Callithrix jacchus: one gene and its partner. The protein of the gene in region 1 purifies or fractionates together with the protein of each later gene. This does not show direct contact. Links are inferred from orthologs where the notes say so. Each region holds a gene or a part of one and is shown on either strand. Other genes may lie near its edges.

What was found.
Region 2: the proteins of RPL11 (region 1) and RPLP2 purify together in Homo sapiens (affinity purification with mass spectrometry; 4 studies listed by BioGRID and IntAct, with this or other methods). This does not show direct contact. The link is inferred for Callithrix jacchus from reciprocal best matches to the Homo sapiens genes RPL11 and RPLP2.

The regions. Positions count from the first base shown.
Region 1 is NC_133508.1:60,426,494-60,436,440, reverse strand, and holds RPL11 (large ribosomal subunit protein uL5), read right to left. Parts: upstream 5,110-9,947; 5' UTR 5,087-5,109; coding exon 5,081-5,086; intron 4,334-5,080; coding exon 4,183-4,333; intron 3,115-4,182; coding exon 3,008-3,114; intron 1,972-3,007; coding exon 1,840-1,971; intron 829-1,839; coding exon 718-828; intron 289-717; coding exon 259-288; 3' UTR 210-258; downstream 1-209.
Region 2 is NC_133511.1:131,090,391-131,100,507, reverse strand, and holds RPLP2 (large ribosomal subunit protein P2), read left to right. Parts: upstream 1-3,707; 5' UTR 3,708-3,772; intron 3,773-3,983; 5' UTR 3,984-3,984; coding exon 3,985-4,107; intron 4,108-5,237; coding exon 5,238-5,307; intron 5,308-5,336; exon of another isoform or gene 5,337-5,470; intron 5,471-6,162; coding exon 6,163-6,261; intron 6,262-6,386; coding exon 6,387-6,463; 3' UTR 6,464-6,501; downstream 6,502-10,117. UniProt on the Homo sapiens protein: Plays an important role in the elongation step of protein synthesis.

The DNA.
Region 1 (9,947 bases):
GGCTACTGTACCACGGTGCATCAACCAAGGTGTGGCGAGCACAGGCAATGCTACGAAGCTTGGACTTGATCTGCCAGGAAGTACTGGCATCCAACCAGAGGACGACAGGGTTGTTACCAGCTACTCCCATCGAAGCTTTAAGTGGCTTGAGGTCCAAGGACTTGAATATGGCCAGGATCCTTTCACAGAACACACAACAGAACTGTACATTTCACTGAAAACTTTTTATTGATTGGCCTTTTGGACAGAAACGGGAATTTATTTGCCAGGAAGGATGATCCCATCATACTGAAAGAGAAGAGATTTAATTTTTTTCAGAACAGGAGGCAACAGCAGAGATTGCAGCAATGGCTAACATTTGAGAATTTAAATCTGATTGATACATGAACTTTCAGTCTGAATCCCATCCTTTTCTGGACTAAATAGGAAGCTGGCTGGTTTTTACACTGTGCTGAACTGCCCTATCATCTAAGAAAGGGGGGTCCTTTTTTAAAGCTGTATTCCTCCCCTTCCAACTACCCCCATTTAGGTGGGAGAAGGCCTAGTTCTGGATGTTCTTTTAAACCATCATCCCTGGAAGCCCCTGATTTGCAAAGGTGCCCAATACTCTAACTTTAAAGATACCCACCAAACCGTACTATACTTTGCATTCCCAAATCCCAACTCCATTCACCAACAGCACATTCCACCACTTCACTTGAGAGAAATCAGCTTTACCTTCTGCTGGAACCAGCGCATGGCCTCCTCTTTGCTGATTCTGTGTTTGGCCCCAATGCAGCCTGTCCTGCGCTTCTTGTCTGCGATGCTGAAACCTGGCCTACCCAGCACCTGTCCCAGGAATAACCAAAAGTCACCTAGCCAGCTCAGAGTCAAGAGCAGATGGACAAGATTCACACATTGCAGACAGATCTTCAAGAGTCACTGGCAGTTCAATGAATTCTGGAGCAAGACCCACAATCTGTGTCTGACAGAACCGGCACCAGCATCTCACACAACACACGGCCATACTATAGAGGTTTGCTTTGGAGGCTGCAACTCTCAGCACCCCCCTCCCCAAAACCATCTTCCAATGGTGCTGAGGAACCTTCATTACTGCTCCCTAATCTCCGAAACTTTTCTTTTTAAAAATAACATTTATAAATCTATTGCCACACCAGCAGTGTAGAAAACATAAAACTCCAAGAAGCACAAACATATATTTTCTTCCTTCTGCTTCAGCTCAAATGTGCTTCCCAAAGGTGTGCTGTCCCTCCAACCTCCTGTGAGTATCCAATTCTTATTACTTGTTTGGGCGTTCAAGTCTAATGAGGGTGCCAGCATTTTCCAGGTTCCACGCTACTCATAACTTCTGATTTAGGCTATTCAGTTTTACTGCTAGACTATAATACTGCAGTAACACAAAAGGTCATTTCTATGTTAAAACCCCATTCCTGAGCAAACCACTGCATCACCCAAAGCTGTTTCTATTGGACGAACCAGGGGAAAAAACAGCCTCAGTGCAGGCAACCCACAGGCCAAACGCAGCACCAATACTGCCTCTCTCCAAAGTTTCAAATCACTGGCTGGATGGAACAGTTTCCTTCATCCACCTTTAAGCCATTTGAATGCTTTATAGATCCTCGACTGCAAGCTCCCCAACAGCAGGGATCTTGTGCATCTTCTTCAGTGCTGCACCCCTACACTTGCCACAAACGAGGCACATTTTCCCAAGGGGGAGAGCACAAAGGCAAACAATACTCAAAGCTGCAACCCAACATGTGAACACCAACATACCACATATGAAATAAAGATTCCCCTCTCCTCACAGACCTGGAGCTGGAAAAAATTAAATATTCATACCACATAGAAGTCCAGGCCGTAGATACCAATGCTTGGGTCATATTTGATACCGAGATCAATGTGTTCCTGAATCCCAAAACCAAAGTTTCCAGTATCGGAGAAGTTGTTTTTTCTTAACTCATACTCCCGCACCTGCGGAGCAAAATGCAGCAATAACAACATTCCTTATCATCTTCAACACCCTCCCACCCCCAAATGCCCAAATAGCTCAACCTGCAATATGCACCCCAAAGCAAAAACAAAGGCTGATGAAACTTGGCTGGGAGCATAATCTAACTTCTTCACTACACCCAGACTACGGATTCACACCCCAACTATCCAATATGACCTCTCCCAGCTTCCAAAAGGCCGAGAAAAACCCAGAGAAAGCAGAGGCATGAAATGACTCCCAAGCATCTTTTTTTTTTTTTTTTTTTTGAGACAGAGTCTTGCTCTGTCGCCAGGCTGGAGGGCAGTGGCGCAATCTTGGCTCACTTCAACCTCCGCCTCCTGGGTTCAAGCAATTCTCCTGCCTCAGCCTCCCAAGTAGCTGGGACTACAAGCATGAGCCACCATGCCCAGCTAATTTTTGTATTTTTAGAAGAGACAGGGTTTCACCATGTTTGCCAGATGGTCTCGATCTCTTGACCTCATGATCTGCCCGTCTCGGCCTCTCAAAGTGCTGGGATTGCAGGCGTGAGTCACCACACCCCGCACATCTTTTTTTTTTTTTAAGACAAAAGTCTCATTCTGTGGCCTAGGCTGGAACGCAGTGGCACGATCTCAGCTCACTGCAACCTCTGCCTCTACATCCCAGGTTCAAGCAATCCTCATGCCCCAGCCTCCCGAGTAGCCGGGACTATAGGTGTCCATCACCAAGCTTGGCCAATTTTTATATTTTTAACAGAGACGGGGTTTCACCACATTGGCCAGGATGGTCTCAAACTCCTGGCCTCAAGTGATCCACGTGGCTCTCAGCTGGTGCTGGGATTATAGAGCTGAGTCATTGTGTCTGGCCCCAAGCATCTTTTAAACCACCAAGAATAGTTAACCCTGATGATTGCAGAAAAACCCTTTTAGAAGGTTAATAAATATCAAGGCACCAAAGAACAGAACATTAAATGTAACTTATCTACATGTTACTAAGGGGGTGCTGATCAATATCACTCCATTACGGGATCAGCCTCACCTTTAAACCCTTCTCCAAGATTTCTTCTGCCTTGGCCCCTCGAACTGTGCAGTGGACAGCAATCTTTTCATTTCTCCGGATGCCAAAGGATCTGACAGTGTATCTAGCTGCAGAAAGGGGGTAACAAGGAGTCAGATGCCATCATACCCCCACTACACTCACCTCTTTCCCAGAACACTATCTCCATGGCTCAGAGACATTATGTACTCCTCCGCACTCTATGTTGTGGTGTTCTAATTAGTGTTGCCTACATCTATTAATAAGATTTCATCCACAGCACAGATTTTCCAATTTCCAGACATCCAGCCATCCTTCAGCAGGTTAAGTTTTGAGAAGTTTATTAACTTGCCAAACATCACAGCTGGTAATGAAATCAAAGGCTGAATCCAAAGGCTTTCCATATTTCACTGCCCTAAGGCAACTGCACACATACAATTCATTTTACCTTCCACAATTATAAAGAATTACCCTCTTCATGGAAATAAAAAGGCAGAGGTCCAGAGAGCTCAGAGAGCGAAGCCATCACTCAAATCCAGGCAATCTAGGTATACAACTTTTTTTTTCTTTCGAGAGGGAGTTTCACTCTTGTTACCCAGGCTGGAGTGCAATGGCGTGATCTCGGCTCACCACAACTTCCGCCTCCTGGGTTCAAGCAATTCTCCTGCCTCAGCCTCCTGAGTAGCTGGGATCACAGGCACGCGCCACCATGCCCGGCTAATTTTTTGTATTTTTAGTAGAGACGGGGTTTCAACATGTTGACCAGGATGGTCTCGATCTCTTGATCCACCCGCCTTGGCCTCCCAAAGTGCTTGGATTACAGGCTTGAGCCACTGCCGCACCCAGCCCAGTATATAACTTTTGAGATGCCCTGTTCTTTTTGCAGCCTATATAACCCTAACTGCAAATCAAACCTAATCATCTTTACTTCATTCCTGACAACTCCACTCTATCTCATATCCTGGTTACTTGGGCTAGTCTTAGCTTAAGATCTGCTCATATAAAATCCAATGTTCCAATCCCACACCCAATCTTGAAAGACACTTCTTGGTTGGCTCATGAGTTCAATGCTGTAAGTGATGCGAACTGTCACTTTCTAAACAGACTCTAAAGCAAGTAAATTAAAAAATAACCAGGTGACCGAGTGGCCAGCCCTGTATGTCCTTGTCACTACTCACCTTTGGAAAACACAGGGGTCTGCCCTGTGAGCTGTTCCAACACCTTGGCAGCTCGGGTCAGTCTGTCTCCACTCTCCCCAACACAGATGTTGAGACAGAGCTTGCGGATGCGAAGTTCCCGCATGGGGTTCTCCTTTTCACCTTGATCCTGCTGCAACAGGGAAGAGCAGCAGTCAATACACTCACAGCTGACAGCCCTGAGTTTCTACTTCTATCTGCCTAGCATTTTAATTTCTGCTCATCCCAAATCGTAACGAAAATCCTAAACGTTTAAAGGGCATCAACGTGTTTGGGAGGCATCAAGGAAGTCAGCTCCGGACCCATTCTTCCTCCACGAAAGGAACGGGTGAAGAGAAACTCAGGATACTCGAGATCGAACCCTAAGAGGCTCAGGGTAACAAAGAGTGCCCCCACTGTAAGACCAACTAAAGGGAGTTAAGTGAGGGAACAGAAGGTAATTGCGGAGTTAACAGGAAGCACGTGGTTACGCAACGTCCTGAATCCCTTTCGGAAGCTGTCTGAAGGTTGGCGCCTTCCCTAAGCGGAGGAACCGGTTAAAGTTTCCCAGCACCGAGTAATCTCAAGTGCCTGGGACCAGGAAAAGCCCCGAACGCCCTGCCTTAGAACCCCCTATTCACCCCATATGCCTTCGCCGCAGCCTAGTAGCTGTGCTTCTGAGCTCTCCGACTAACTGCCCGGAACAGCTCCTAGAACGGTGGCAGGGGGCTTGATAGGCTTCAACCCTGCGTCCTTGGCCCTAACGGCTCTGCCAGCCTTGGGCTGGCAAGCATTGCGGGCTCCATACTCTTCGGGCTGCGGGCGAGGTAGCCCCCGCAGACTCGGCCTGCCATGGATGGAGGCGGATCAAGAAAAGCAAATCCAACTCCCAGCTACTCACCGCCATGATGGAGAACAGGAAGAGAAAGTAGAGCCTCCGGCCCAGGGCCTCATGGGCTAGGAGGCGGGTTCTTTTCCCAGGCTAACCACAGAGATGAAGAGGAAGAGAGGCACATTTGGCAGCGCAGTGCAGCGTCGGCTTCCCCCTTGTGGGTAGTGCTAGAACTGCAGGTGAAGCCGGCTGAAGACCTGGATCTGGGTTTTCCAAAAATAGTTTTTGAAAGCTCCCTGAATCAGCAAGTTCTTGAGTTTCCGGACCTCGAGGACGTTCTCTCTTCCCAGTGTCAGGAGCTGGTGGTCCTTGTGTATTGAGACTGCCAAAACTACATTAAATCAATCATGCAAATAATGATGCAAATTTATTCTGTAACAATGTAAACCCGTACAATTGATTGATTGAGACAGAGTCTCGCTCTGCCCTGGCTGGAGTGCAGTGGTGTGATCTCGACTCACTGCGACCTCTTGCCTTCCGGGTTCAAGCGATTCTCCTGCCTCAGCCTCCCAAGTAGCTGGGACTACAGGTGTGCACCACCACACCCGTCTAATTTTTTTTTTTTTTTTTTTTTTTAGTAGAGATGGGGTTTCACCATGTTGGTCAGGCTGGTCTCAAGCTCCTGACCTCAAACGATCCACTTGCCTTGGCCTCCCAAAGTGCTGGGATTACAGGCGTGAGCCACCACGCCTGGCACAAATAGAATTTATGCAAACGGAACAGAATGGTGGCTTAAGAGTCCCGAGCTTGAAGACAGGCAGATGTGGCCCCGTCTCGACCAGCTAGTAGCTATGTGACCTTGGGCAAATTACTACAGGGTGAGTATTCCTAATCTGAAAACGCTGGGACCAGACTTTTTTGGATTTGGGATTTTTCTGGATTTTAGAATATTTGTATAAACATAATGAAATATCTTGGGGATGGGGCCCAACTCTGAACAATAAATTAATTTATGTTCTATACATAACTTATACACATACCCTGAAGGTAATTTTATACAATATTTTAAGAAAGTTTGTGTACCTTGAACCATGAGAAAGCAAAGGTGTTACTATCAGCCACCCTTGTGGACACTCTGGTTGGTTGGCATAACCATTGTTCCAGACTCTAAATATATATGCTACTAATAAGCAATAATTTATTATGCTTATTCATACATAAGTACTTAACAGCAAAATATATGTTATGTCATTAATACAGTGAAGAAGTTCAGGGTAACTAAGCAGCAGAGGAGCATCACCAGAAAACCTGGATCAGCTGTAAAACAATGGTGACCCTTCCCCACCAACACCAGACCAGGTACCGTGGCTCACACCTGTAATCCCAGCACTCTGGGAGGCCAAGGCATGTGGATCAGTAGAGGTCAGGAGTTTGAGACCAGCCTGATCAACAGGGTGAAACCCAGTCTCTACTAAAAATATAAAAATTAGCCGGGCCTGGTGGTGCACGCCTGTAATCCCAGCTACTCGGGAGGCTGAGGCAGGAGAATCGCTTGAACCAGGGAGAGGAAGCTTGCAGTGAGCCGAGATCACACCACTGCACTCCAGCCTGGGTGACTGAGACCCTGTCTCAAAAAATAAAAACAAAAAACAGCAACCACAAATGGCAGGCTTTCAGTCTCCACTTACGATGCAGGGTTTTGATCAAAAGGTTACTGTACACTGTATTTTTTTTAGGTTGAGAAGAAACATCAGGAGCAGTTGGAGGGAGCAGGAAGTGGGTCCCCCTAGGGAAAAGGAGGCATTCTCTTGGATGGCTTTTTAAAATATTTCCTCCAGAGTCATCCGCCCTTTTTTATTGAGGCAGGGTCTTGCTCTGTTGCCCAGGCAGAACTGCAGTGGTGTGATCATGGCTCACTGCAGACACGACCTCCTGGGGTCACATGATCCTCCCACCTCAGCCTCCCACGTAGCTAGGACCACAGGTGCACGCCACCAAGCCCAGCTAATTTTTAAAATTTTGTGTAGAGATGGGATCTTTCCATGTTGCCCAGGCTGGTCTCCAACTCCTGGACTCATGCGATTCTCCCACCTCAGCCTTTCAGTACTGGGATTACTGGCATGAACCGCCATGCCAGGGCTTATCTGCCTCATTACCAGTGGTTTTTACCTTAGACATGGTTTATCATTTTGTTAGGAATGCATACTTCTCTTGTCCTTCAATAAGCCCATCATGCATTTTCTTTTCTTTTTTTTTTTTTTTTGAGACAAAGTCTCTCTCTGTCACCCAGGCTGGAGTGCAGTGGCATGATTGCAGCTCACTAAAACCTCTGCCTCCCAGGTTCAAGCAATTCTCCTGCCTCAGCCTCCCGAGTAGCTGGGATTACAGGCATGCACAACCAGGCCCGGCTAATTTTTGTATTTTTAGTAGAGACAGGGTTTCACCCTATTGGTCAGGCTGGTCTCCAACTCCTGACCTCAAGTGATCCACCTACCTTGGCCTCCCAAAGTCCAAGGTGGACTCCCTGTAAAGGCGTCCACCACCATGCCTGGCTAACTTTTGTTTTGTTTTGTTTTTAAGTAGAGACAGGGTTTTGACATGTTGGCCAGGCTGGTCTCCAACTCCTGACCTCAAGTAATCCTCCCACCCTAACCTCCCAAAGTGCTGGGATTATAGGCATGAGCCACCGTGCCTGGCCTATAAATGTTTATAAATGTAATGTCATGTCTCTTCTTAAATTTCTGCAACCAGCCAGGTGCAGTGGCTCATACCGGTAGCAGTTTGGGAGGCCAAAATGGGAAGGTTGGCTTGAGCCTAGGAGTTCAAGACCAGCCTGGGCAACATGGCAAGACCCTGCATGATGGGGGTGTGTGTGTGTGTGTGTTCCCAGCTCCTTTGGGAGGCTGAGGTGGGAGGATCACTCGAGCCTAGGAGGCTGAGTCTACAGTGAGCCACATTTACACTACTGCATTCCAGCCTGGGTGATAGAGTGAGACCCTGTCCCCACACCCCAAAAAATTCTGCAACCAGCCTGTTGAATATTTAGTTTCCTTCAATTAATCGTGATAGATCTTGCTCGTTGCCTTCAGTATGCCAGTATGATGTTGGATAGATCCATCAGTGCAATGCTAATGGATCTACTCTTTTTTTATTTTTTGAAATGAAGTCTTGCTCTGTCGCCCAGGCTGGAGTGCAGTGGCAGGATCTCAACTCACTGAACCTCCAGGTTCAAGCAATTCTCCTGCTTCAGCTTCCCAAGTAGCTGGGATTATAGGCACCTGCCATCATGCCTGGCTAATTTTTGTATTTTTAGCAGAGATGGGGTTTCACCATGTTGGTCAGGCTGGTCTCGAACTCCTGACCTCAAGTGATCTGCCCACCTTGGCCTCCCAAAGTGCTGGGACTACAGGTGTAAGCCATTGTGCCCAGCCAAATGGATTTACTCTTTTTTTTTTTTTTGAGATGGAGTCTCACTCTGTTGCCCATGCTAGAGTGCAGTGGCACAATGTCTGCTCACTACAACATCCGCCTCCCAGGTTCAAGCGATTCTCCTGCCTCAGTTCCCCAAGTAGCTGGGATTACAGGTGTGTGCCATCTCGCCCGGCTAATTTTTACATTTTTAGTAGAAATGGGGTTTCGCCATATTGGCCAGGCTGGTCTGGAACTGCTGACCTCGTGATCCGCCCACCTTGGCCTCCCAAAGTGCTGGGATTATAGGCGTGAGCCACCGTGCCCAGCCTCTGGATCTATTCTTTCAATACACAGTCGAGATCTTCATTTTTCACGCTTTATGCATTTTCTGTTTTTCATTAACTTCTGTTCATCATATTCAGTATCGAACTTCACCAGTTTATCCTTCTGTTTCTTCAGGTCATCTATGGTGTTCATGCCAACACCATACTCTTCTGTAGGACATTTCACACCTACGCTGCTGTCCAGTTTCTCCAGCAACTTGACTTTCTGTGCAATAAACATAACTGCTTTCTCTTTTTCTTTTTTGAGACAGTCTCGCTCTGTCACCCAGACTGGAATGCAGTGGCGCCATCTAGGGTTACTGCAACCTCTGCATCCTGGGTTCAAGCAATTCTCCTACCTCAACCTTCCAAGTTGCTGAGATTATAGGTGCCTGCCACCACACCCAGCTAATTTTTGTATTTTTGGTAGAGACAGGGTTTCGCCATGTTGGCCAGGCTGGTCTTGAACTCCTGACCTCAAGTGATCCACCTGCCTTAGCCTCCCAAAGTGTTAAGATTACAGGCGTGAGCCACCTCGCCTGGCCTGCTTCCTCTTCTTCTCATCACTGTTACTCACAGGGCTATCTGCAGGGCTCTCTTTATACTTTGAACAATATCTTTACACCACAGAACAGAAAATAATAGTTAAAAAACCTATGTGAGTGATGTGCATAGATCTCCGTCCTCTTTGAGGCAGGTGGGGAACAACCTGCAGTTGGCATGTCTAGCCTGCAAATGTGCCATCATGTTAACTTTTTTTTTTTTTTAAGATGGAATCTTGCTCTGTCACCCAGCCTGGAGTGCAGTGGCAGAATCTCGGCTCTCTGCAACCTCTGCCTCCCAGGTTCAAGCGATTCTCCTGCCTAAGCCTCCCAAGTAGCTAGGATTATAGGCATGTGCCACCACACCTGGCTAATTTATTTTTAGTAGGGATGGGGCTTTGCCAGGTTGATCAGGCTGGTCTTGAACTCCTGACCTCAGGTAATCCACCCACCTCAACCTTCCAAAGTGCTGGGACTACAGGTGTGAGCCACTGTGCCTGGCCTCATGTTACCTCTTATGGGCATGCTTTTGTGGAAGAATCTGAGTGTGAGTGGAAAATAGGTATCGCAGCTGAAGGGGGCTGGGAGTGTCTTTTTTCCCCTTGGGAATGCTGAATAAACTGTGTACTGTGTACCTGCATTTTTGACTGCCACCTGTCA
Region 2 (10,117 bases), on another chromosome or scaffold:
CGGCATCCCCGGCTGCCTGGCCCGGCAGAGAAAGTAGCAAACACCAGCGACGCCTGCGTCTTTACTCAGGTCGCACAGCCTCCTCCTTCCCAGCTACGGCCATCCCTCCCTCTGGGGTGCGCAGGTCTCTTCCAGGCTTCCCTGCTTCCATGCTCACCAGCCCCTTTCACGTAGGTGCCGGAGGGATCGTTTTAAAAACCAACCACAGGCCGGGCACGGTGCCTCACGCCTGTAACCTCAGCATTTTGTGAGGCCGAGGTGGGCGGATCACCTGAGATCAGGAGTTCAAGACAAGCCTGCCCAACATGGTGAAACCCATCTCTTTATACTAAAGAGAAAAATCAGCCAGGTCTGGTGGCTCATGCCTGTAGTCCCAGCTACTCAGAGGCTGAGGAGGCAGAGGCCGTGGTGAACTGAGATCGCACCACTGCACTCCAGCCTGGACAACAGAGAGAGACTCCCTCTAACAAGATAAATTTAAAAATAGGATGGGCGCGGTGGCTCACACCCGTAATCCCAGCACTTTGGGAGGCTGAGGTGGGTGGATCACCTGTCGTCAAGAGTTCGAGACCAACCTGGCCAACATGGTGAAACCCCATCTCAAATCTCTGCTTCTACTAAAAATACAAAACTTAGCCAGGGATGGTGGCTCACACCTGTAACTTCAGCTACTCAGGAGGCTGAGGCAGAATCGCTTGAACCAGGGAGGTGGAGGTTGCGGTGAGCCAAGACTGCACCACTGCTCCGGCCTGGGTGACAGAGCGAGACTCCATCTCAAAAATAATAATAAAAGTAGTAAAAGGCCAGGCACAGTGGCTCACGCCTGTAATCCCAGCATTCTGGGAGGCTGAGGCAGGCAGATCACGAGGTCAGGAGTTTGAGACCAGTCTGGCCAATATGGTGAAACCCTGTCTCTACTAAAAATACAAAAGTAGCTGGGTGTGGTGGTGCACTCCTATAACCACAGCTACTCGGGAGGCTGAGGCAGGAGAATCGCTTGAACCAGGGAGGTGGAGATTGCCATGAGCCGAGATTGTGCCATCGTACTCCAGCCTGAACAAAAAGAGTGGAACTCCCTCTCAAAAAAAAAAAAAATTAGCCAGGTGTGGTGGTGGACGTCTGTAATCCCAGGTACCTGGGTTGGCGGGGAGGCTGAGGCAGAAGAATCACTTGAACCTGGGAGGTGGAAGTTGCAGTGAGCTGAGACCTCAGATCACACCACTGTACTCCAGCCTGGGTGACAGAGCGAGACTCCCGTCTGCAAAAAAAAAAAAAAAAAAATCCACTTGTAGGTCACAGTGGCTCACACCAGTAATCCTACCACTTTGAGCCACCAAGGCAGGAGGACTGCTTAAGGCCAGAAGTTTGAGACCAGCCTGAGAAACACAACAAGGCTCCATCTCTACAAAAGATTAAATTACAGGCCAGGCACAGTGGCACAGGCTGTAATCCCAGCACTGTGGGAGGCCGAGACGGGTGGATCACCTGAGGTCAGGAGTTGGAGAGCAGCCTGGATGACATGGCAAGATCCTGTCTCAAAAAAATATATATATACATGTAAAAATTATAAAAAATAAAAATTGACTTGTAATTGCTGCTCATCCAAGTGTAAATTCTGGGCAGCCTGCATCTGTGCTCCCAGGTCGCAATCCTCAAGCCTGGCCCACGTAAACATCTCTCTACTTACATTAGACTTTGGGACTTCCATTTAGGTAGATACTTGAAATTTGAAAATAAGCTGCATGAAAGAGACCAGACAAAAAGCAAAATACCGTATGATTTCACTCTTATCTGAAGGGTGTTCTCGTCAGAATCATGGGAACGGAAAGTAGAATGGTGGTTATCAAGGGCTGGGGGAGCAGGGAACAGGAATTTAATGGGTACAGAGTTTGTTTGGGATAAAAAAAAAAAAGTGAGAAGGGGCCAGGCACAGTGGCTTGTGCCTGTTATTCCAGCACTTTGGGAGGCTAAGGCGGGCAGATCACCTGAGGTCAGGAGGTTAAGACCAGACTAGACAACATGGTGAAACCCTGTCTCTACTAAAAATACAAAAATTAGGCAGGTGTGGTGGTAGATGCTTGTAGGCCCAGCTACTAGGGAGGCTGAGGCAGGCAAACTGCTTGAACCCTGGAGGCGGAGGTTGCAGTGAGCAAAGATCACGCCACTGCACTCCAGCTTGGACAATAGTGAGACTACTCAAAAAAAAAAAAAAAAAAAAGTTGGTATGGACGGTGGCACACCAATGTGAAGGGACCGGCTTAAGACACTGAATGGCTTCCCTTTGTAATTACATAAGTCCCATGCTGGCCAGGCATGGTGGCTCACACCTGTAACCCCAGCACTTTAGGAGGCCCAGGTGGGAGGATCACTTGAGCCCAATGTTGGGCAACCTCGTCTCTACCAAAAACACAAAAAATGTTGGCCGGGTGTGGTGGCTGAGGTGGGAGGACTACCTGAACGGCAGTTGAGGCTGCAGTGAGCTGTGATCGAGCCACTGCACTCCAGCCTGGGCGACAGAATGGGGCCCCGTCTCAAAAATTAAAAAATCCCATTGTTCCCAAGGTGGTTTCCCGCCTTTACCCCAGATGTGTGACTCTGAGCAAGAAAACCTTTCTGTACCCAACTTCCTCATCTACAAAGGGGTAATGAGGCCACTGAAGGCGACTGTGAAGTTCGAGTTCCAGTGCTTGATGGAACAAACCCCACTGTTGTTTGAGCTCCACTCGAGCTGGCGCTGCCTGCGTGGCACCTCAGGTATCCGCATCTGACCCCGGATATTGGCAGGGTCGGCTCCTTTTCATATTTTAGCTCAAGGACACTGCCATGTGCAAGCTTTCTCAGGCTGCCCAGACCAATTCCCTCTCTGTCCCTGTCCCTCGGATCGCTTCCTTCATTCGCTTCCTGTGTCCTCGCACACGAACTCAGTCCTTAGGAGGCAGGGCCAACCCTGTTCCCTCCCAGGACCCCAGGGTGTAGCAGGGTCCCTGATGCGCTGAGGTCCACATGGACACCGAGGTCAGTTCTGGGCCGAAGCGGCCGGCGCAGGGGCTGCCTACGCCTCCCAGGGGTGCGTGGCGACGCCGCCTCACGACATTCTCCTGGCCTCGCATGGCGGGGGCGGCCTCCCAGGTGGGGAGGCCGAGGCGCTGGCTCACCTCACTGAGCCCGGCTGGACATGGGACAACGGGTCGCCGCGGCCTGGGAATCACCAAAGATTCGGGGCGAGCTTATGGCCAGCAGCCTCTGCCCGGGCCCACGTGCAGTTCCGCGTAGGGCGGTGGCGCAGGCCACTTCCGGAAGCGGTGTACCATGGGACTTGTGGTTCGGGGGCAAAGGATACGTCCCCGGCGTGGGGGCCGCGCTGCATGTTGGGAGCTGTAGGCGTCGTGTGGCATGATGGGAGCCCCCGGTACAGAAGACAGATGCCGTCCCCTTGGGCTTGCTTGGCCCATCGCCCCACGAGTTTTGGGGGACATTCGCCCCACGCTATAAGAGCAGCCAGTTTCGGAACTACTACCCTTCGCCTTTGCCGCAGAAACTGCCTGAGAGAATAGGGAAGCGGGTGGGGGGGGGGTCAATGGTTTCTCCGTCGTCGTCATTGGCTGAGCGCCTCTTGACGTCACTCTTATGCGCCTCATGCGTCGCCGCGCGTGGGTCCCAGAGGCTTCTGGGTAGCGGTTTACCCCCGCCCCTTGCGTTGGCGCCTTCCTTTTCCTCCCTGACGCCGCCGAGTTCGCACGCGTGAGGCCGCCGCCGCTGCAGACGCCGCCGCGTGAGTGTGGGGGCCGGGCCCGGGGTGCGGGCTGGGGCTGGGGATGCGGGGCCGTTGGGCTGCGGGGGTGGGCGGCGGGCTGCGGGGCGGGGTTTTTCTGCGGCAGAGGCCTACGGGCCCAGCCACGCGCAACCTCGCCCGGGGCCCCGGGGTGGGCAGGCTGGAGGCCGCCGGGGTAACTCCGCCGTGGCGCCCTCTCCGTCCGCCTCAGGATGCGCTACGTCGCCTCCTACCTGCTGGCTGCCCTCGGGGGCAACCCTTCCCCGAGCGCCAAGGACATCAAGAAGATCCTGGACAGCGTCGGCATCGAGGCGGACGACGACCGGCTCAACAAGGTAGCTGCCGCCCCTGCCCCGCAGCCGTCGCGTGGCGCGTGGCCCGTACCGGGGGGGTCCTTCGGCCTGATCCGGCCTCATGCTGGAGGGTCCGGGGAGCGGCTGGTGCCAGTCCAGTTGGTGATTTATTGGGTAGAGAAGTAACCAGGGCGGGGGCCGGACGCGGTGCCTCAGGCCGGTAATCCCTGCACTCTGGGAGGCCGAGGCGGGCGGATCACCCGAGGTCAGGAGGGGTTCGAGACCATCCTGGTGAAACCCCCATCTCTACTAAAATGCAAACGTTAATCGGGTGTGGTGGTGGGCGCTTGTGATCCCAGCTGCTTGGCCGGCTGAGGCAGGAGACTCCAGCCGGGGTGATGGAGCAAGACTGTCTCAAAAGGAAAAAAAAGAAAAAAAAAAAAAGCAAGGCGGGTATGAGGCAAGGTCGGGACTAACGAGCTTTGGAAATTCAATACAGGTGAGATGCATGAGATTGCTTAAAAAACAGGCAGGCCGGGTGCGTGGCTCCCCCAGCACTTCGGGGGCCAATGCGGGTGGCTTATTGGAGCTCAGGCGTTCCACGCTAGCCTGGAAAACATCTCAAGACCGGGCCTCCTCGAAAGGTTAAAAAGAAGAAATTTCTATACTCAGAACCAACAATTAGAAATTAGTCAATGGTTCGAATCTGTAGCCCCAGTTATTCAGGAGGCTGAGGCGGGAGGATCATTGGAGTCTGGGAGGTCCAGGCTGCAGTGAGTAGTGATCACGCTACTGCAGTCCCACAGAGCCAGGTGCGGTGGCTCATCCTGCAGTCCCAGGCTGATGGAAGACTCACTTGAGGCCGGGATCCCATCAGTGCACTCCAGCCTGAAGTCAAAGCCAGTTTCAGTGCTGCCTTATTTTGCCCACGTTTAAGACAGATATGAATAGTCAGCGTATGCGGTGAGATGGTGTGTCCTCTCAGCGTTGAGTCTGAGAATGCTGCATTCCGTTTATCGTTGCACCACTTAACCAGCAAGGCTGGTGGCTCCCTTAGGGCAGCGCAGGTCCAGAAACTCCAGCGCGTATTCCCACGTGGTGTACCCAGTCCTGCTGTGACTCTGGAAGGGATCGGTAAGGCCAGGGCTGCAGTTGCACATTTCTCGTAGCAGCTGGGCGATTGTCTTCTCCAGGTTATCAGCGAGCTGAACGGAAAGAACATTGAGGACGTGATTGCCCAGGGTGAGTTTCTCTAGAGATGTTCGTTTTCATGGTCCATCCTAATCCCTGCTGGTCAGCCTGTGGCCTGCCAGGTTTCGCTTGTGGACCAGAGCACCCTAGAAGCCTCACCCAAGGAGTGAGCAGGGCTTCAGTGGGCTCACGGCATGGGCGCTTCTAGACACGCCAGGCGCAGGGCAGCAGGGGCACATGCTCTTACTGGACTTTCAGGTGGCCCTGAGGCCGTTTCCTAGGATTCCTCCGAAGCTTGGGATCTGGAGAACTGGGTTCACGTAAACGGTTCCACCCCGTGCTTTCTGTGAAGGGGTTGCCGGTGGGGACTAGGTGCCAGGGGTGACCACAGGCTTCTTGCCTCTTGGGCAGATGGTTTTCTGTTAACATCAGCTGAGCTGGTGGGACTTGTTTGGAAGTTGAGCTGTTGGGACAGCTGTTGCTGTCCTCTGCATATGACCAGGACAGGGCCAGCTCAGGAAACGGGCCAAGCCATGAGCACATCGCTGTGGCTGGAGATCTGGACGCTGTGGCAGCTTATTCATTCCCTACCTGCCCATAAACATGTTTGTCCAGTGGACCTCGGAGGGTGGAGGTGGGGAAAGTGGGGAGGTGGGCAGTGTCGCCTGATTCCTAGAAGGCGAGTCCCTGGGTAGGAAAGGTAGGAAAGAGAAGTCCCTGACAGTGAATGTTGAGGAGTGGCTGGGAAGGGAGGGTTCTGGAAGAACGGGAGGCACTGGAACCATATGGTGGGGCCCAGGTATGTTGGGCACTCTGTGCCATGCCTGGTTCCATCTAGCTTGTGTGTGGAACAGCCTCCCAGGCTGGGCAGCTGCTCTGATCTCGGCTTCTCTCTGTTTTCTGTAGGTATTGGCAAGCTTGCCAGCGTACCTGCTGGTGGGGCTGTGGCCATCTCTGCTGCCCCAGGCTCTGCAGCTCCTGCTGCTGGTTCCGCCCCCGCTGCCGGTAAGTGGGGGGCTTGGTGAGTGGGCAGAGGGCTGAGGCTCAGACTGTTGCTGTCGTGGGGTCTTCACTACTGTGGGAACTGGCCTGGCACTCGGGCAGTGCTCACCATGCTCTCTTTTCCACAGCAGAGGAGAAGAAAGATGAGAAGAAGGAGGAGTCTGAAGAATCAGACGATGACATGGGATTTGGCCTCTTTGATTAAACTGCTGCTCCCTTGCAAATAAAGCCTTTTTACACGTCTCTCAAGTATCCCATGAGCAGTTTGTCACAAGGTCGCCTGAGCACAGGTTCCCATCACGGGCGGCAGGTGTGCGGCACAAGCGTGGGTCACGCGGTTTTGGGGAAGGGTCTCTGGTGCAGGATGAGCAGGGGCTGGGGGGGCTGGGCATCACAGCTGCCAGGGGCCCATTCCTGTGGGCCTTAAACAGTGTCCAGGCTCCTGAGTACACCCGGAAAATTGCTAACAGGCTGGGCACAGTAGCTCGTGCCCATAATCCCAGCACTTGGGAGGCCGAAGAGGGAAGGTCACTTGAGGCAGGAGTTTGAGACCAACCATCTCTAAAAAACTAACCGGGCTTGGTGGTGTGTACCTGCAGTCCCAACTGTGAGAAGTTGAGGGGAAAGGGTCACTTGCCCAGGAGGTTGGAGTTACAGTGGGCCGGCATGGTGCCGCGGCACTCCGGCCGAGCTGCAGAAACACTGCTGTGGAACGGCAGAGAAGCTGATCTGAAACGGAGTCTGGGTAATCAGGGCTCTGTCCTTGTGTGGCTTGGTGCCCAGCCTTGCAAGGCCAGGATTGGTAGCCCCGGGCTTCACAAATGGATGCAGGAAGGGAGCCCAGCTTGGGGGCGGCAGCGCCTCTGGCTTCCCCTGCGGGGTCATGGCTCTGCCGTAATGCCCTGAGCACCTTGGGCAATCACTTAGTTCCTCCGGGCTTGTTTTTCTGCTGTTCCTGAGCCAACCCCTGCCTTACTGGGCAGATGTGCTCAGGGCTTGTGGGCCGTGACCACAGAGCCACGTGCCCACCGAACTGAGTCCTTTGGGGTAGGCCTGCCCTCCCCCCACAGGCTGTGGCCTAGAATATGGGGCTAAGGACAGAGGCCATCACCGTCCCCTCTCAGCCTCTCTGCCCTCCTGGCCCTACTCTGTACAAACTCTCCTGGGCCTCAGAGTCTTTGCCCACCAGTGTAGGCACCCCAGGAGATGATCTGCCCCTTCTACCCCGGGCTTGGGAGCAGCAGCCCATGGACTGGCTTTGGTGTGTGCACCTGCTACGTGAGCACTTCAGTTCTGGGAGGGTAAATGGGATCTAACAAGACAGCTGGAGTGGCTGGAGGTGCCTCCCTCAGATGGGGAGCCAAGACCTGGAGGAAGGCAGAGTCCCCAGAGGGGAGGGAATGGGGGTTGTGGGGGGAGCCAGGGAGCCACAGAGGGTCCTGAAATGGAGGGGGACCCAAAATGCTTTTATTTTTGAGATCAAGTTTCACTCTTGTTGCCCAGGCTGGCATGCAAAGGCACAGTCTTGGCTCACTGCAACCTCTGCCGCCCAGGTTCAAGTGATTCTACTGCCTCAGCCTCCCAAGTGGCTGGGATTACAGGTGCCTGCCACCACTCCTGGCTAGTTTTTTGTGTTTTTAGTAGAGGTGAGGTTTTGAACTCCTGACCTCAGGTGATCCGCCCATCTCAGCCTCCCAAAGTGCTGGGATCACAGGCGTGAGCCACCATGTCCAGCCCCAAAATGCTTTTAAAACATTCCATCTCAGGACCTTCTCCATGAGTTGCTGATCCCAAACCCAAGGTGGAAGGGGCAGGCCATCTCCTGGGGTACCTGTATTCCCAGCACTTGGGGAGGCCCAGGCAGGTGGATCACCTGAGGTCACGGGATCAGGACGAGCCTGGCTAGGGTGCCAAAAACCCCATCTCCATTAAAAATACAAAAATCTCACGCCTGTAATGCCAGCACTTTGGGAGGCTGAGGCGGGTGGATCACGAGGTCGAGAGGTTGAGACCATCCCGGTCAACATGGTGAAACCCCGTCTCTACTAAAAATACAAAAAATTAGCTGTGCATGGTGGTGCGTGCCTGTAATCCCAGCTACTCAGGAGGCTGAGGCAGGAGAATTGCCTGAACCCAGGAGGCGGAGGTTGTGGTGAGCTGAGATTGCGCCATTGCACTCCAGCCTGGGTGACAAGAGCGAAACTCCATCTCAAAAAAAAAAAATTTTTCCCCCGCAGATCATGACATATTTTCCAGAGATGCCTTTTTTTTTTTCTTTTTGAGATGGAGAGTCTTGCTCCAACCTCCTCCCAAGTAGCAGGAATTAACAGGCATGTGCACCGCGGCTGGCTAATTTTTGTACCTGGGATTACAGACACGCACCACTGTACCTGGCAAATTTTTTGTGTGTTTTTGGTAGAGACGGGGTTTCACGATGTTGGCCAGGCTGGTCTCAAACCCCTGACCTCAGGTGATCCACCCACCTCGGCCTCCCAAAGTGCTCAGATTATGGGTGTGAGCCACCGTCCCTGGCCTGGCTAGTGTGCAGTGGCTCAATCTCTGCTCACTGCAACCTCTGCCGCCCAGGTTCAAGCAAATCTCATGCCTCAGTTTCTCAAGTAGCTAGAATTACAGGCATGCACCACCACACCCCACTAATTTTTGTATTTTTTAGTAGAGACCAGGTTTCACCATGTTGACCAGGTTGGTCTCAAACTCCTGGCCTCAAATGATCCACCTGCCTCAGCCTCCCAAAGTGGTGGGATTACAGGCGTGAGCCACTGAGACCGCCTTACGTGTGTGTGTGTGTGTGTGTGTGTGTGTGTATTTTTTTGAGATAGCGTTTCACTCTTGTTGCCCAGGTTGGAGTGCAGTGGTGTGACCTTGGCTCACAGCAACCTCCACCTCCCGGGTTCAAGTGATTCTCCTGCCTCAGCCTCCTGAGTAGCTGAGATTACAGGCACCTTCCACCCTGCACAGCTGATGTTTGATGTTTTGTATTTAGTAGAGATAAGGTTTCACCGAGTTGATCAGACCCGTCTGGAACTCCTGACCTCAGGTGATCGACCCACCTCAGCCTCCCAAAGTGCTGGGATTGTAGGCATGCACCGCTGCACCCGGTGTATATTTTATTTTTTATTTTATCTTTTGAGTCAGAGTCTCCCTTCGTCGCCCAGGTTGGAGTGCAATGGTGCCATCTCTGCTCACCACAGCCTTGACCTCCCGGGCTCAAGTGATCCTCCCACGTCAGCCTCCAGAGTAGCTGGGACTACAGCTGCGCTCCACCACAGCCAACTAATTTTTGTATCTTTTTGTAGAGATGTGGTTTCACCCGCTGCTGCGGTGGCTCACGCCTATAATCCCAACACTTTGGGAGGCCGAGGCGGGTGGATCACGAGGTCAAGAGATCGAGACCATCCTGGTCAACGTGGTGAAACCCCATCTCTACTAAAAATACAAAAAATTAGCTGGGCACGGTGGGGTGTGCCTGTAATCCCAGCTACTCAGGAGGCTGAGGCAGGAGAATTGCCTGAACCCAGGAGGCGGAGGTTGCGGTGAGCCGAGATCGCGCCATTGTACTCCAGCCTGGGTAACAGGAGCCAAACTGTGTCTCAAAAAACAAAAGAAAAGCAGACTTATGAGTAAAGCCAGGTGAGGAGTGGAGGAGGCTAGAACGTGCATAGTAGGGGTGGGGCAGCAGAGGAGGAAGCAGAGAAATGACCGCAGCAGGGTGCAGCTAGGGAGTGCAGGGGAGCAGTGCTCCGTAGAAGGGGGCAGGGGTGAGGCTGGGGCACTGGTGGCCCAGGCTCAGGAAAGGGCCCCCTGCAGGAGTGGACCTAGGGTTCAGGGTGCATTCCTC